2 linked regions of the Arabidopsis thaliana genome follow. The protein of the gene in region 1 purifies or fractionates together with the protein of each later gene. This does not show direct contact. Each region holds a gene or a part of one and is shown in the gene's direction. Other genes may lie near its edges. The genes, in order: SNC1 and AT5G15400.

The links.
Region 2: the proteins of SNC1 (region 1) and AT5G15400 purify together in Arabidopsis thaliana (affinity purification with western blotting, with the first as the bait; one study listed by BioGRID). This does not show direct contact.

Annotation. Positions count from the first base shown.
Region 1 is NC_003075.7:9,499,754-9,507,950, reverse strand, and holds SNC1 (TIR-NBS-LRR class disease resistance protein), read left to right. Parts: upstream 1-2,120; 5' UTR 2,121-2,468; coding exon 2,469-2,959; exon of another isoform or gene 2,960-3,010; coding exon of another isoform or gene 3,011-3,036; coding exon 3,037-4,114; intron 4,115-4,299; coding exon 4,300-4,587; intron 4,588-4,684; coding exon 4,685-5,164; intron 5,165-5,377; coding exon 5,378-7,138; intron 7,139-7,229; coding exon 7,230-7,445; 3' UTR 7,446-7,680; downstream 7,681-8,197. UniProt on the Arabidopsis thaliana protein: Disease resistance protein of the TIR-NB-LRR-type. Part of the RPP5 locus that contains a cluster of several paralogous disease resistance (R) genes.
Region 2 is NC_003076.8:4,997,114-5,005,108, reverse strand, and holds AT5G15400 (U-box domain-containing protein), read left to right. Parts: upstream 1-1,855; 5' UTR 1,856-2,201; coding exon 2,202-3,061; intron 3,062-3,532; coding exon 3,533-3,737; intron 3,738-3,878; coding exon 3,879-4,030; intron 4,031-4,117; coding exon 4,118-4,391; intron 4,392-4,664; coding exon 4,665-4,817; intron 4,818-4,916; coding exon 4,917-5,120; intron 5,121-5,201; coding exon 5,202-5,314; intron 5,315-5,424; coding exon 5,425-5,542; intron 5,543-5,697; coding exon 5,698-5,787; intron 5,788-5,867; coding exon 5,868-6,071; intron 6,072-6,150; coding exon 6,151-6,246; intron 6,247-6,329; coding exon 6,330-6,452; intron 6,453-6,534; coding exon 6,535-6,627; intron 6,628-6,711; coding exon 6,712-6,876; intron 6,877-6,981; coding exon 6,982-7,071; intron 7,072-7,168; coding exon 7,169-7,345; 3' UTR 7,346-7,620; downstream 7,621-7,995. Other genes in the region: DND1 (Cyclic nucleotide-regulated ion channel family protein), read left to right, coding at 1-312, 410-521, 614-850, 937-1,023, 1,140-1,649; AT5G15390 (tRNA/rRNA methyltransferase (SpoU) family protein), read right to left, coding at 7,854-7,988. UniProt on the Arabidopsis thaliana protein: Ubiquitin-protein ligase that may function as an E3 ligase in conjunction with specific E1 and E2 ligases. May also function as an E4 ligase mediating the assembly of polyubiquitin chain assembly on substrates monoubiquitinated by another E3 ubiquitin ligase.

The DNA of each region.
Region 1 (8,197 bases):
TACGACTCTTGAATGTGTCTCCATTTCCAGATGATAGTGATGGAAGCTCTGAAACAGAGTACAGCCAACAGTCTCGAGAAAAATGTGATGTTGTAGAGACTGCGAGAAGCAATAAGCGGATGCGGGTAAGCCTTTTGACATAATTAGAACTGAAAATTGCAAAGCTATCTCTTGATGTTTTATTATATTTTCCAGGATCAATACCTTAGTGACAGACTATTTAACAGAATCGATCCTTTGGTTTACGATGCAGATGACATCGGGAACATCTGAAGAATATATCAACTTACCCTGTGTCCAAATTGTAGCGGACACAAGCTTGACCGCTCTAAATATGGAGCTTTCGTTAGGGCAGGGAGAAGCATCATCAGTTTCTTCTTATCCATCTCTGGAGGGGGAATCTTTGTGTGTTGATTCCATGATAAGTGAACAACAAGATGAAGAAATTCCTATCTTGAATTCTGGTTCTGGTAACTGAAGCATCTTATTATTCGGTTTTCCTCTGTTTTAGGATAACTTGGGACCGAGCATGACTATAATGATAATGGCAAGACGATTTCATATGTTTTGACACAAGCCATTTTTCCTGCAGATATATCACTTCCCTTGATACTAGTTAAATCCATATGAAAATATCTTGTTCCCTGAGCTACTCATTAACACATCTAGGATGGGATGGAAAAGCTAATTCTCTAGGGCTGTTCTCGGCTGAATGGTCTTTGGACCAAGGACCTAAAAAAAGACGTGTGTTCTGCGGGAGTTACTTTGTTATACCTCATAATGGGAAGGAAAGCTCTCACTGGTGACCCTGAACAGTTAAGATCTGACTTGACTGAATACACCATCACTCGGTTCCACTTTTTTCTTCTTTCTTGCCGTCTTACAACGACCTTGTCATTCCCAGGAACATAAAGGACATTGCGCAACTACGAGGCAGTGAAGAATTATGGGAAGTAGCCAAGCTGCACAACCGTGAATCCTCTTTACATGAGGTAAAATCTCATCTTTCATCCCTTGTAAACTCTCCATTCATTTGATTACTGCATTGGTGTGAACATAACATACATGTTCTGTTCTTCTTTGCCGCCAGCATTTGGATTCAAATATCACAAAAGGGTTTTCATTGTTAGCATTTTGTGTTCCAAAACATTATATATCTTAAAAATGTAAATTACCGACAAAATTATTAGATAGATGATCGTGAGAGATGAGTTCAGGTTGATTTTTGTGTTGTTGTTTCAGGAATTGTACAAGTCAAGGTACTTGAAAGGGATGGAGTTGAGAAAATGGTACGAACTCAACCCAAAACGCATGGAGTTTCTAGATGCAATTCCATGGTCGCTCCTTGACCTCGTTGATAGATGTTTGACCGTTAACCCGAGACGGCGAATCAGTGCAGAGGATGCTCTCAAGCACGACTTCTTCCATCCAGTACATGAAACCTACCCTTAGAAACCAAATGCTCCTTAAACGGCAGCAAATGCAATCGCAGCCTACAGTGGTTGCTGACACAGTAAGCCAAAACTCTAAACTAATATTACAATTGTAAATGTAAACAAGAAAACTTTACATGAAAATATTCTCTCCACTGTCCACACCACACAGCTCTAGAAAACTAGATAGTTTGTTGTTAGTGTTTTCACTGTATTATTAGTTGAATTATAATCCTCATAATCGATATACTAATTATTCTCCTAATTTCCATGCATGTATGTACAGTATGAATAGGAAAACCAGACTTTTGATATTAGTGAACCTTAACATTGTTAAAATAAATTGAAATCTTGTTTCTGTCTTGAACCACTGACAGCCACAAAATTTTGGGTCTTCAAAAATATCTGTGGAGAGGAAAAGTAGCTCTCGAGGAAGTTTCTGTCTATTTTGCCTAGAAATTATCTTGAAATCTTGTAGAATGGCTACGTCTCATCATCATAGATAAATTCAGTGACGACTGATAGCCACAAAATTGACTTATCGTTATAGAGTAGAAGCTTTCCAAGGAAAGGAAGGGGAAGTTTCTGTATCACATAATTATGGCCTTATCTTGTTAGGGATTTGATTTTTCAACCACTAAAAAAATATCTTGTACAGTAAGTCTTCTATGCAAGTCTTCTAAGAAAGGAAGACCAAGTTTACGTATTATTTGTCCCAATTGTCTTGTAATGGGATTTGATTTTAACCACTAAAACAATATCTTGTATAGTAAGTCTTCTATACAAGTCTTCGAGGAAAGGAAGACCAAGTTTCTCCTCTCTGTTACTGTGTTGTATTATTGATATACTTCAAAGAGTTTTCCTTTGAGAAATTTCGTCTCTTCTCTCTCATCCTCTGCCATGGCGTCTTCTTGCTTCAGATAGATATACAATGTTCTCAGATGGATATACAATGTTTTCGCGAGCTTCAGTGGAGAAAATTTCGGCAAATTGTTTCGTGGCCATCTTGTCAAGGAGCTCGAGCTCGACCGTGAAATGATGGATACATCCAAAGATGATGATATGGAGATAGCTTCTTCTTCTGGCAGCCGGAGATACGACGTTTTCCCAAGCTTTCGTGGAGAAGATGTCCGTGACTCATTCCTCAGCCATCTTCTCAAGGAGCTCAGGGGCAAAGCAATCACATTCATAGATGATGAGATCGAGAGGAGCCGCTCAATCGGCCCGGAGCTTTTATCGGCAATAAAAGAATCGAGAATAGCAATCGTTATCTTCTCTAAGAACTATGCTTCATCCACCTGGTGCCTGAATGAATTGGTGGAGATTCACAAGTGTTATACGAATTTGAATCAAATGGTGATTCCGATTTTCTTCCACGTTGATGCTTCGGAAGTTAAAAAACAGACCGGCGAATTTGGAAAGGTCTTTGAAGAGACATGCAAGGCTAAATCAGAGGATGAGAAACAAAGTTGGAAGCAAGCTCTAGCAGCTGTTGCAGTTATGGCCGGATATGATCTTCGGAAATGGTATTTCAATGAATAGACTTCGTGATTTTTTTGTTTTGCGTTGCTTCTTTAATGAAACAGTTGACTATTGTTATTAGGCCTAGTGAAGCAGCCATGATTGAAGAGCTTGCCGAGGATGTTTTGAGAAAAACTATGACACCATCGGATGATTTTGGCGACTTAGTCGGAATTGAAAATCATATAGAGGCAATAAAATCAGTATTGTGCTTGGAATCCAAGGAAGCTAGAATAATGGTCGGGATTTGGGGACAATCAGGGATTGGTAAGAGTACCATAGGAAGAGCTCTTTACAGTAAACTCTCTATCCAGTTCCACCATCGCGCTTTCATAACATATAAAAGCACCAGCGGTAGTGACGTCTCTGGCATGAAGTTGAGGTGGGAAAAAGAACTTCTCTCGGAAATCTTAGGTCAAAAGGACATAAAGATAGAGCATTTTGGTGTGGTGGAGCAAAGGTTAAAGCAACAGAAAGTTCTTATCCTTCTTGATGATGTGGATAGTCTAGAGTTTCTTAAGACCTTGGTGGGAAAAGCTGAATGGTTTGGATCTGGAAGCAGAATAATTGTGATCACTCAAGATAGGCAACTTCTCAAGGCTCATGAGATTGACCTTATATATGAGGTGGAGTTCCCATCTGAACATCTTGCTCTTACGATGTTATGCCGATCTGCTTTTGGGAAAGACTCTCCACCTGATGATTTTAAGGAACTAGCATTTGAAGTTGCGAAGCTTGCCGGTAATCTTCCGTTGGGTCTTAGTGTCCTTGGTTCGTCTTTAAAGGGAAGGACCAAAGAATGGTGGATGGAGATGATGCCTAGGCTCCGAAATGGTTTGAACGGAGATATTATGAAAACATTAAGAGTCAGCTACGATAGATTACATCAAAAAGATCAAGATATGTTCCTTTACATCGCGTGTTTATTCAATGGTTTTGAAGTCAGTTACGTCAAAGATTTACTTAAAGATAATGTTGGGTTTACAATGTTGACTGAGAAGTCCCTCATACGTATTACACCGGATGGATATATAGAGATGCACAATTTGCTAGAGAAATTGGGTAGAGAAATTGATCGTGCAAAGTCCAAGGGTAATCCTGGAAAACGTCGATTTCTGACGAATTTTGAAGATATTCATGAAGTAGTGACCGAGAAAACTGTAAGTTTTTTTCGCAGCTCCGTTTGAATGCATGACTTTATATTAATATAATCGTAATTTGGGGATTGATAAACTTAAGCAATTGTTGCCTCATGCGTAATTAAAATGTAGCTTTGATGTGTCAGAAAATTAAAAAGGGTTGCGATTGTTAAGATTATATTAGTTTTCTTCGGATTTTTTTTCAGGGGACAGAAACTCTTCTTGGAATACGTTTGCCATTCGAGGAATATTTTTCGACAAGGCCGTTATTAATAGATAAAGAATCGTTCAAAGGCATGCGTAATCTGCAATATCTAGAAATTGGTTATTACGGGGATCTACCTCAGAGCCTCGTTTATTTGCCCCTTAAACTCAGATTGCTAGACTGGGATGATTGTCCATTGAAGTCTTTGCCATCTACTTTTAAGGCGGAATATCTAGTTAACCTCATAATGAAGTATAGTAAGCTTGAGAAACTGTGGGAAGGAACTCTGGTACGAATTCTAAATTTTATTAGTTGTCAGTTTTTAGAACAGAACTGTGGTATATTTGTGAACGTGTGTATTCTCTTTTTCCATATTTTGTTTTCAGCCCCTTGGAAGTCTCAAGGAGATGAATTTGAGGTATTCCAACAATTTGAAAGAAATTCCAGATCTTTCTTTAGCCATAAACCTCGAGGAATTAGATCTTGTTGGATGCAAATCTTTGGTGACACTTCCTTCCTCGATTCAGAATGCCACTAAACTGATCTATTTAGATATGAGTGATTGCAAAAAGCTAGAGAGTTTTCCAACCGATCTCAACTTGGAATCTCTCGAGTACCTCAATCTCACTGGATGCCCGAATTTGAGAAACTTTCCAGCAATCAAAATGGGATGTTCAGACGTTGACTTTCCGGAAGGGAGAAATGAGATCGTGGTAGAAGATTGTTTCTGGAACAAGAATCTCCCTGCTGGACTAGATTATCTCGACTGCCTTACGAGATGTATGCCTTGTGAATTTCGCCCAGAACAACTCGCTTTTCTCAATGTGAGGGGCTACAAGCATGAGAAGCTATGGGAAGGCATCCAGGTACATTGTTAATGCTATGCTGATTTTTGTTTACCTTCTGTTATATAACTAATTAACTATACCCAAATTTGTTATTATGGCTTGTGATCCACGGTTATGTCTTACCACGGTTATGTCTTATAATAATGTTTAATTATAATTTTAAACATATACAGTATAAAATTAAAATGATTATCATCGATAATGATTGAAGCATACCAATGTTTTTTTCAGTCGCTTGGAAGTCTCGAAGGGATGGATCTGTCAGAATCTGAAAACCTGACAGAAATTCCAGATCTTTCAAAGGCCACCAAGCTCGAGTCTTTGATACTCAACAACTGCAAAAGTTTGGTGACACTTCCTTCTACAATTGGGAATCTTCATAGATTGGTGAGGTTGGAAATGAAAGAATGCACAGGGCTGGAGGTTCTTCCGACCGATGTCAACTTGTCATCTCTCGAAACCCTCGATCTCAGTGGTTGCTCAAGTTTGAGAAGTTTTCCTCTGATTTCAACTAATATTGTATGGCTCTATCTGGAAAACACCGCCATTGAAGAAATTCCTTCTACAATTGGGAATCTTCATAGATTGGTGAGGTTAGAAATGAAAAAATGCACAGGGCTGGAGGTTCTTCCGACCGATGTCAACTTGTCATCTCTCGAAACCCTCGATCTCAGTGGTTGCTCAAGTTTGAGAAGTTTTCCTCTGATTTCAGAGAGTATCAAATGGCTCTATCTGGAAAACACCGCCATTGAAGAAATTCCAGATCTTTCAAAGGCCACTAATCTGAAGAATTTGAAACTCAACAATTGCAAAAGTTTGGTGACACTTCCTACTACTATAGGAAATCTCCAAAAATTGGTGAGCTTTGAAATGAAAGAATGCACAGGGCTGGAGGTTCTTCCGATCGATGTCAACTTGTCATCTCTTATGATCCTCGATCTCAGTGGTTGCTCAAGTCTGAGAACTTTTCCTCTGATTTCAACTAATATTGTATGGCTCTATCTGGAAAACACCGCCATTGAAGAAATCCCTTCTACAATTGGGAATCTTCATAGATTGGTGAAGTTAGAAATGAAAGAATGCACAGGGCTGGAGGTTCTTCCGACCGATGTCAACTTGTCATCTCTTATGATCCTCGATCTCAGTGGTTGCTCAAGTCTGAGAACTTTTCCTCTGATTTCAACTAGAATCGAATGTCTCTATCTGCAAAACACCGCCATTGAAGAAGTTCCCTGCTGCATTGAGGATTTCACGAGGCTCACTGTACTTATGATGTATTGTTGCCAGAGGTTGAAAACCATCTCCCCAAACATTTTCAGACTTACAAGACTTGAGCTCGCCGACTTTACAGACTGTAGAGGTGTCATCAAGGCGTTGAGTGATGCAACTGTGGTAGCGACAATGGAAGACCACGTTTCTTGTGTACCATTATCTGAAAACATTGAATATATCTGGGATAAGTTGTATCGTGTTGCATACCTCCAGGAACATTTTAGCTTCCGTAATTGCTTCAAATTGGATAGAGATGCGCGAGAGCTCATCCTACGATCATGCTTCAAGCCTGTGGCCTTACCAGGTGAAGAAATCCCTAAGTATTTCACGTATCGAGCTTATGGAGATTCCCTAACTGTCATTGTACCTCAGAGCTCTCTTTCTCAAAATTTCTTGCGATTTAAGGCTTGCGTCGTGGTTGAACCTCTCTCCAAGGGCAAGGGTTTTTATCCATTCTTGAAGGTAAACGTTGGCTTCAATGGCAAACAGTATCAGAAATCATTTTCTAAAGATGCAGAACTGGAGCTTTGTAAGACGGATCATCTGTTTTTCTGTTCCTTCAAGTTCCGGTCTGAAGATCTTCCATCTAAATTGAATTTCAACGATGTGGAGTTTAAGTTTTGTTGCTCCAATAGGATCAAAGAATGCGGTGTACGACTCATGTATGTCTCTCAAGAAGAGAACAACCAACAGACTACGAGAAGCGAGAAGCGGATGCGGGTATCTTTTGACTTTTGATTTGATTTTCCAGGATCGAAATACCATAGGGACAGACTATTTAATAGAATCTATCGTTTGATTTATAATGCAGATGACATCGGGGACATCTGAAGAAGATATCAACTTACCCTATGGCCTAATTGTAGCGGACACAGGATTGGCCGCTCTAAATATGGAGCTTTCGTTAGGGCAGGGAGAACCATCATCATCAACATCTCTAGAGGGGGAAGCTTTGTGTGTTGATTACATGATAACTGAAGAACAAGATAAAGGAATTCCTATCTTGTTTCCTGTTTCTGGTAACTGAAACATCTTATCATTCTGTTTTGCTCTGTTTTAGGATAACTTGGGATCGACTATGACTATAATGATAATGATAATGATAATTAATTACATTATCCAACTCTGCGTTTGTTTTGAACATTTCGCTTTTCCTGAAAGAATAAATGTTTCAGAAAGCCACACTTTAGCATATTCTGGAAAAACATCTTTCGCATGGTTTTGTATTGTACCATACATCTATCTATTTCCACATTGAATTTGGGAGCGTACCTACTTGAACTCAGGTACTACCCAAAATAGTCTTGCCTTTTTTAAAACATAGATGTCAAGGTTTATGTTAGTAAAGGTTGTTTTTCTCTTTATTAGCAATGAATAAATCAGACTTTGGGTACAGAAAACAACAAGAATCAGCAACATTTGCATATCCGCTGATTCAATAGCCAAAAGGCAGAAGCGTTTTTGGCCTAACTTCGGCCAAAGATGTAACCAGCATAAGGAACAATCCTTCGGGTGAAGGAAAGAGCTTTTAAACTTTCTACAGGAGACATTGTCTGGTCCACTTCCAAACCATGAAGTATCATCCAGCTATCCTACGTCGATGAGAATACATGTCGCTGCTGTTCCCCCATGCCGCTGCACTCTTTAATTGTATCGTAAAGAGTTAAAGTTGTAGGCCTGAACTACTCACTAGAACATCTAGGATGGAAAGCTAATTCTCTGGGGCTGTTCTTGACTGAATTGATTTGCTTCAGATCTTTGCATCAAGGGCCTAACATA
Region 2 (7,995 bases), on another chromosome or scaffold:
GGGATGTTGGTATGTTCTCGCAATACAGCGTGTTGCTTCTTGCATAAGACAACAATGTATGAGAACCGGGAACTGCAATCTGAGTCTGGCTTGCAAAGAAGAGGTCTGTTACCAATTTGTGTCACCGACAAGCACAGTTGGATATCCATGCTTATCTGGAAACCTTACCAGTGTGGTCAATAAGCCTATGTGCTTAGACTCTAACGGACCATTCCGATATGGTATCTACCGTTGGGCACTTCCAGTCATCTCCAGCAACTCTCTTGCGGTTAAGATCCTTTACCCCATCTTCTGGGGCCTAATGACTCTCAGGTAATTGCTTTGTTTCTGAGCTTAAGGTTTACATCTTGGATATAAAAAAATTCTCTGATTGACATACTGAATCTGTTTTGGGGGTCGCGTTTTACAGCACATTTGCGAATGATCTTGAGCCCACAAGCAACTGGCTCGAGGTTATTTTCAGTATAGTTATGGTTCTAAGTGGCTTGTTACTTTTCACGCTGTTGATAGGAAACATTCAGGTAAACTATGCAAGAATATGTCTTTTCTATGATATTGTGTTTTCATGGAATGTAAGATTTTAAAAAGCTTTTTACTTTACAATATTTTGAAGGTGTTTTTGCATGCGGTAATGGCGAAAAAAAGGAAAATGCAGATACGGTGTAGGGATATGGAATGGTGGATGAAACGTAGGCAGTTACCTTCCCGGTTAAGACAGAGGGTTAGGCGATTTGAGCGGCAGAGATGGAATGCCTTGGGTGGTGAAGACGAGCTAGAACTTATACATGATTTGCCTCCGGGTCTTCGAAGAGATATCAAACGATATCTTTGCTTTGATCTCATTAACAAGGTACTAGGAAGCAGACTTTATACAATCTTGTTAAGACTTGTGAAAGCAGTAAGTGTTAAGTCTCTGACATGTTTGATCTTTCTCAGGTGCCATTGTTCAGGGGCATGGACGACTTGATCCTCGACAACATTTGCGATCGGGCTAAGCCTCGAGTCTTCTCTAAAGACGAAAAGGTACTCATCCCATCATTTCTAAAAATTTATATTTCCAATATTTTGCTTCGGTTTCGGTTTAAGAGTTTACTTGAAGAGTAAAATCTGAGGTTCTTCGATTTTGTTGATTGTCACAGATCATCCGTGAAGGAGATCCTGTACAGAGAATGATATTCATCATGCGTGGACGAGTCAAACGTATACAGAGCCTAAGCAAAGGCGTCCTAGCCACTAGTACACTAGAACCAGGCGGTTACTTGGGCGACGAGCTACTCTCATGGTGCCTACGTCGCCCGTTTCTGGACCGTCTTCCCCCTTCCTCAGCAACATTTGTCTGCCTAGAAAACATCGAGGCATTCTCCCTCGGATCCGAAGATCTTAGGTACATTACCGATCATTTCCGTTATAAATTCGCGAACGAGCGGCTTAAGCGGACCGCAAGATACTATTCCTCAAACTGGAGGACGTGGGCAGCGGTAAATATTCAGATGGCGTGGCGCCGGCGTAGGAAAAGAACCCGTGGTGAAAACATCGGCGGTTCGATGAGTCCTGTGTCGGAGAATAGCATTGAAGGTAACAGTGAACGCCGGTTACTTCAGTATGCAGCTATGTTCATGTCCATTCGACCGCATGATCATCTCGAATAATAATAAAAAGTTCCAATTTTATATCGGTCCAAATAATTGTGTGTTCATTGTTCCTCCTCAATTGTTTACCTTTACTTCTTTAAAAAATCTTTCTTGGAATGATACTTCAACCTCTTACGGTTAAGTTCAAAGTAGATTTTTTGAGCAACAAAATCTTGGAGGAGTTTATCTTGGTAATTTTTTATTTTTTATTTTTTATTAGCAGTAAAAGTAATTGTCTTAATAAGTATAAACGACGTCGTTAGTAAGTACGACGTTTGCATATATCCTATATAGACTTTTTGTCCAAGCTCAGGACTTGCTAAAGCTCGTTCAGAGACTCCAAAAGAGTTCATAAACAAAAACCTACTCCCAGAAAGTTCTTCCAAATCTCTCGCCATGGTTTCTCTCTTCTTTCGTGAATTTTAGTTTTTCTAAATTTAATTATACTTTAAATTGCTAAGTCCAAACTCTTTCGCTTTTGATTCATCGGTAATACAAGTTTAAGAAAAAAAATTCTTATATTTATCTCTCAAATCGAGTTTCGAGTGTTTGATTTGATTCGTAAAATCAATGGCGACGAGCAAACCTCAAAGATCGCCGGCTGAAATTGAGGATATAATCCTCCGGAAGATATTTTATGTAACCCTAACGGAATCAACTGATTCCGATCCTCGTATTGTTTACTTGGAGATGACGGCCGCTGAGATTCTCAGCGAAGGTAAAGAGCTTTTGCTTTCTCGTGATTTGATGGAGAGAGTTCTCATAGATCGTCTCTCCGGCGACTTTTCCGACGCCGAACCGCCTTTCCCGTATTTAATCGGTTGCCACCGTCGTGCTTACGACGAATCGAAGAAAATCCAGTCGATGAAGGATAAGAATCTGAGATCGGAGATGGAGATTGTCACTAAACAAGCGAAGAAGCTTGCTGTTTCTTACTGTAGGATTCACTTGGGGAATCCTGACATGTTTGGGAACTCGGATAAACCTAGTGGTGGATTGGATAATAGGTTGAAGAAGAGGAATGTCTCTCCGGTTCTTCCGTTGATCTTTGCTGAGGTTGGTTCTGGTTCGTTGGATATGTTTGGAGCTAGTAGCAGTGGGGTTCAAGCTCCTCCTGGGTTTTTGGATGAGTTTTTCAAAGACTCGGATTTTGATAGCTTGGACTCGATTCTAAAGGAGCTGTATGAGGATTTGAGGTCTACGGTTATAAATGTATCAGTGCTTGGAGATTTCCAGCCACCACTGAGGGCACTCAAGTATCTTGTTAGCTTACCAGTAGGAGCTAAATCTCTGGTTAGTCATGAGTGGTGGGTTCCACGGGGTGCCTATATGAACGGCCGAGCAATGGAGTTGACTAGCATTCTTGGGCCTTTCTTCCATATTAGTGCGCTGCCAGATAATACACTATTCAAGAGTCAACCTGATGTTGGGTGAGTTCCAACTTATTTATGGGTTTCTATTACTGAGAATCATGTAGTCTTTGGGGCTCTTTTCTTATTGAGAAAGTTTGGATAGTAAGAATTATTGATTAGCTTTTACTCATAGTAGAGAGACTTGATCAAAAAAGGAAAAAAGCAGATATATTTGGCTTATATATGATGCCACTGTTAGGTTGTATACATATTTTAAGCATGATTATATAAATTTAGCATAGTTAGATGATCAGTAGAGGCGAAACCAACAGAAATATTAGTAAGCACTATGTTAAGTTAGAATATTGTGGATGAAATCCATTATTTTGAGCATTTTTTCTGGTCTGTACTGAAGAATCTTGATTGTCCATTTAGTATTTGACAAGGCTTAATTGTGCGAACATAAGAGTTTTCCTGATCCACCTCAGAGGATATACTTTACCTGTTATGAAAATGCTGATATATGTCTATTGTTTTTGTGAATATCAGGCAGCAGTGTTTCTCTGAAGCATCGGAACGTCGTCCCGCAGATTTATTATCATCCTTCTCCACGATTAAAAATTTCATGAACATTTTGTACAGCGGGCTGCATGATGTATTGATGATTTTACTTAAAAGTACTGATACCCGTGAGCGTGTTCTACAGTTTCTTGCAGAGGTGATCAATGCAAATGCGTCTAGAGCCCATATACAGGTAATCATCCGTTTATAAGATGCATATATACTTCGGATCTTTATTCATGAATTGCTATTGTCTCCTCTCGGTTTTATCAAGTTGGTATTTGTCTTTTTTGCTCAAATCAGCATTCTGTAATATGTTTATCTTGTATGACAGGTTGATCCAGTCTCTTGTGCTAGCTCAGGCATGTTTGTTAACCTTAGTGCAGTAATGCTCCGGCTCTGTGAACCATTTTTAGACCCACATTTAACGAAAAGGGATAAGATTGATCCAAAATACGCATTCTGTGGCCATCGCTTAAAATTAAGGTATGGTCCTCAAGATGATTCTACTTGTATTTCCTCACTGATTTTAATAGTTTCATGATGAGCAATATTATTTATGATCCACACCAGCGACTTGACCGCTCTCCATGCATCATCCGAAGAAGTTACTGAGTGGATTGGCAAAGATGCTATGGCAAACGCAAATGATGCTGGGCGAGAAAATGGGAACGAAAGTCGCTTGTTACAATCCAAAGAAGCCACAAGTTCTAGTAGTAATGCTTCTGGGCAAAATGCAAAGTCAGCAACTAAATACACTTTCATTTGTGAATGCTTCTTTATGACTGCTAGGGTCCTCAATTTGGGTCTCCTAAAAGCACTCTCTGACTTTAAACATCTTGCTCAGGTAATCATCATCACAGTTTTCCCGTCCTGGAAATATTGAAGATTTTTTGGAAAAAAAAACGACTTGTGATAAATTATCTTGCAGAAAGCTCTTATTTGATTTGGTTCCTTACATATTGTCTTATTAAGGCGTTTGTTAGTTAAAACGAGAAGGGACTATAGCAAAAACTTGAACTTAGTCACATGTTTACATTGTGAAAGTGTCATTGATTCCTGAATTTGCAGAAGATTGTTATTGTATGGTTCTTCACTTTTTCTTTTCCGCATGACGTAGGACATCTCGAGAGGTGAAGATAATCTTGCAACGCTAAAAGCCATGAGAGATCAAGCACCTTCTCCACAGTTGGAACTTGATATATCCCGAATGGAAAAAGAACTAGAGCTGTCTTCGCAGGAAAAGCTTTGCCATGAGGCCCAAATATTGAGGGTTTGTAATCATATTCTCTGCTCTGATAACATCTTCGGCTTTTCCTCTGGACCGGTAACATGATAGTAATAGCTGCCTTATCTCTATACTGTATTGAAGGATGGAGATTTTATTCAGCGAGCTCTGTCTTTCTATCGCCTAATGGTTGTTTGGTTAGTTGGACTAGTCGGTGGCTTTAAGATGCCTCTACCGTCAACTTGCCCTATGGAATTCTCCTGTATGCCTGAGCATTTTGTTGAAGATGCAATGGAGTTGCTGATATTCGCTTCAAGAATTCCCAAAGCTTTGGACGGGGTGCCGCTGGTATGCTTAGTTTGCTCTCATCAGTCTGTAGAAATTCTCTTTTTGTATTTGCACTGATGATGGTTGTTCTCTTTTCTTAAGGACGACTTTATGAACTTCATAATTATGTTCATGGCAAGTCCTGAATATGTTAGAAACCCGTATCTCAGAGCAAAGATGGTTGAAGTTCTGAACTGCTGGATGCCTCGTTCAAGGTGTTTTTCTTCCCATGAAAGAAAGCTGTACATTTGTCAATTTGTGTTGCTAATGCAACAAGTTCTGCAGTAACGTGGTCCACCATTCTAATTTTTTTTTTTTCCTGCAGTAGTTCTTCTTCTGCTACATCTACTCTCTTTGAGGGACATCAGTTATCGCTCGAGTATCTTGTCAGGAATTTACTGAAACTATATGTTGACATTGAGTTCACGGGTTCACACACTCAGGTGATTGCAAGAGATTTTGTTTAGTGGCTATAATATTCCTGGAGTAATGAACTTCTCTCTATTGCATTGTACTTGAGAATATGTTAGCTCTGGAAGCCAGAATAGCCATTTGTTCTTGCTTTTATTGGAACTGAAATCTAGTTATCCAAATGCAGTTCTATGACAAGTTCAATATTCGCCACAACATTGCCGAGCTTTTAGAGTATCTCTGGCAGGTGCCTAGTCACCGAAATGCATGGAGACGGGTAAATTCTTAGTGAGCTTGCCATGACTTTGAACTTCAACTATCATGTTCCAATGTTTTTCCAAATTTGATGTGTTACAGATTGCAAAAGACGAAGAGAAGGGCGTGTACTTGAACTTCTTAAACTTCTTAGTCAATGATAGCATCTATCTTCTGGATGAAAGTCTAAACAAAATTCTCGAGATTAAACAAATCGAGGCAGACATGTCAAATACTGCAGAGTGGGAGCAGAGACCAACTCAAGAGAGACAGGAGAGAACAAGACTCTTCCATTCGCAGGAGAATGTTAGTTGGATTATCACTTCTTATATCTTGTTTCGTACTCGAATCCCGATCCCATAAAGAACTTTGATTTTCTTTGCAGATTGTTAGAATCGACATGAAGCTGGCAAATGAAGATGTGACTATGCTTGCATTTACATCCGAGGAGATCACTGCCCCTTTCCTACTCCCTGAGATGGTACCTGACCATATTCCTGAAATGATAACCTGCCCTATGATTACCCAACTGATGAGTTTCTTTGTTTGTTTGCACTTATTTAGGTTGAGAGGGTTGCCAACATGCTTAACTACTTCTTGCTACAACTCGTGGGTCCACAGCGTAAATCTTTAAGCCTGAAAGATCCTGAGAAATATGAATTCCGTCCAAAACAGTTACTTAAACAGGTTAGTAGTGATTACAATTACTCAATTCTCCTGATCAAAGTATGTGAGAAAAAACTGACTGATATGATTGTGAACTTTGAAGATCGTTCGCATATATGTTAATCTCGCAAGAGGAGACACAGTAAACATATTCCCTGGTGCCATCTCCAGTGATGGCCGATCATATAATGAACAGGTCAGATCCTTCTTTCTAAACCAAATCCTCTTTCATAATAATAGATGCGTCTCTACTGAACTAAACAAGTGCCCGTTTTTGCAGCTATTCAATGCAGGAGCAGATGTGCTTAGGAGAATAGGTGAAGAGGGAAGAATCATTCAAGAGTTTATGGAGTTAGGCACAAAAGCCAAAGCTGCTGCTTCTGAAGCTCTGGATGCTGAAGCTGCACTTGGGGAAATACCAGACGAGTTCCTTGACCCAATTCAGGTCTTTATCTGTTGAAAGAAACACTAATTTAAACCTAAATCTTGTCTTATTACCATGCACTAATGTCTGTTCTTGTTTTTTTCTTTTCCTTTTCTTTTTTGGCAGTACACGCTAATGAGAGATCCAGTAATACTTCCAAGCTCAAGAATCACAGTTGATCGTCCCATCATTCAACGTCATCTTCTCAGCGACAATGTAAGCTTATCTAACACAATGATGATCACTGATCAGTCACATCTCTCTTTCTCTGAAGATTTTGGCTTTGTATATGATCCTCTTACTTTTGCTGCAGCATGATCCATTTAACCGAGCACATTTGACATCGGATATGTTGATACCGGACATCGAGTTGAAGGCGAAAATCGATGAGTTTGTGAAGTCGCATCAGTCTAAGAAACGGACAAGTGGAGAAGATAGCAGCAACAAGGAAAGGATACAGACTACAAACAGTGATATGTTAATTGATTAATTATGTGTTCCAAAAGTAACAAAATAATAACAATTATTCAGGACTTTTTTTTTTTACTTTTGCTAGGCTTTCTTTTCTATTAGGATTTATCTATCTATTTTAGGGCTTGCTTTCCACTTATTTGATGCCACGGGAAAAAAACTTATAAATATCATGTCTAGAACTGTTTCTATCATAAGTTCGATGTGTTCACGAGTTTCTATGCATTTCGACGTTTGTTCATGGATTACTAGTTGGCATAAGAGTTATGAGTGACCAATTCTTGAAAGGCGAAATTTCTAACTTAATCTTTGATGGCGTGAGGTCGATGCAGAAGAATGGTGAAATCAACACCACTCACTCGATTGAAAAGGCAATACGTTCGACAGAAGGATGTCTTTTATAGAATTTAAGAGTTGTACATGAAGCAAGCGTCGTACCAAAAAAAGAGTTCGAAAGAGTTTTTATAGGCGTCATTCGAAGCCTATAACACGCAAAACAGCGAGAGAATAAGACAACGGTTTCAAAATTAGGAGGAGGTAGAGTGTTGTTGTTTACGTTTAGCGAACTCGTAAGCAATGCAAATTGAGCTTCTACTGTGACGAAGTGAGAACTCAGCCATCAATATCTCTTTCTCTGCTTCCGACAGATCTCCATGGCTTCCCTGTTTC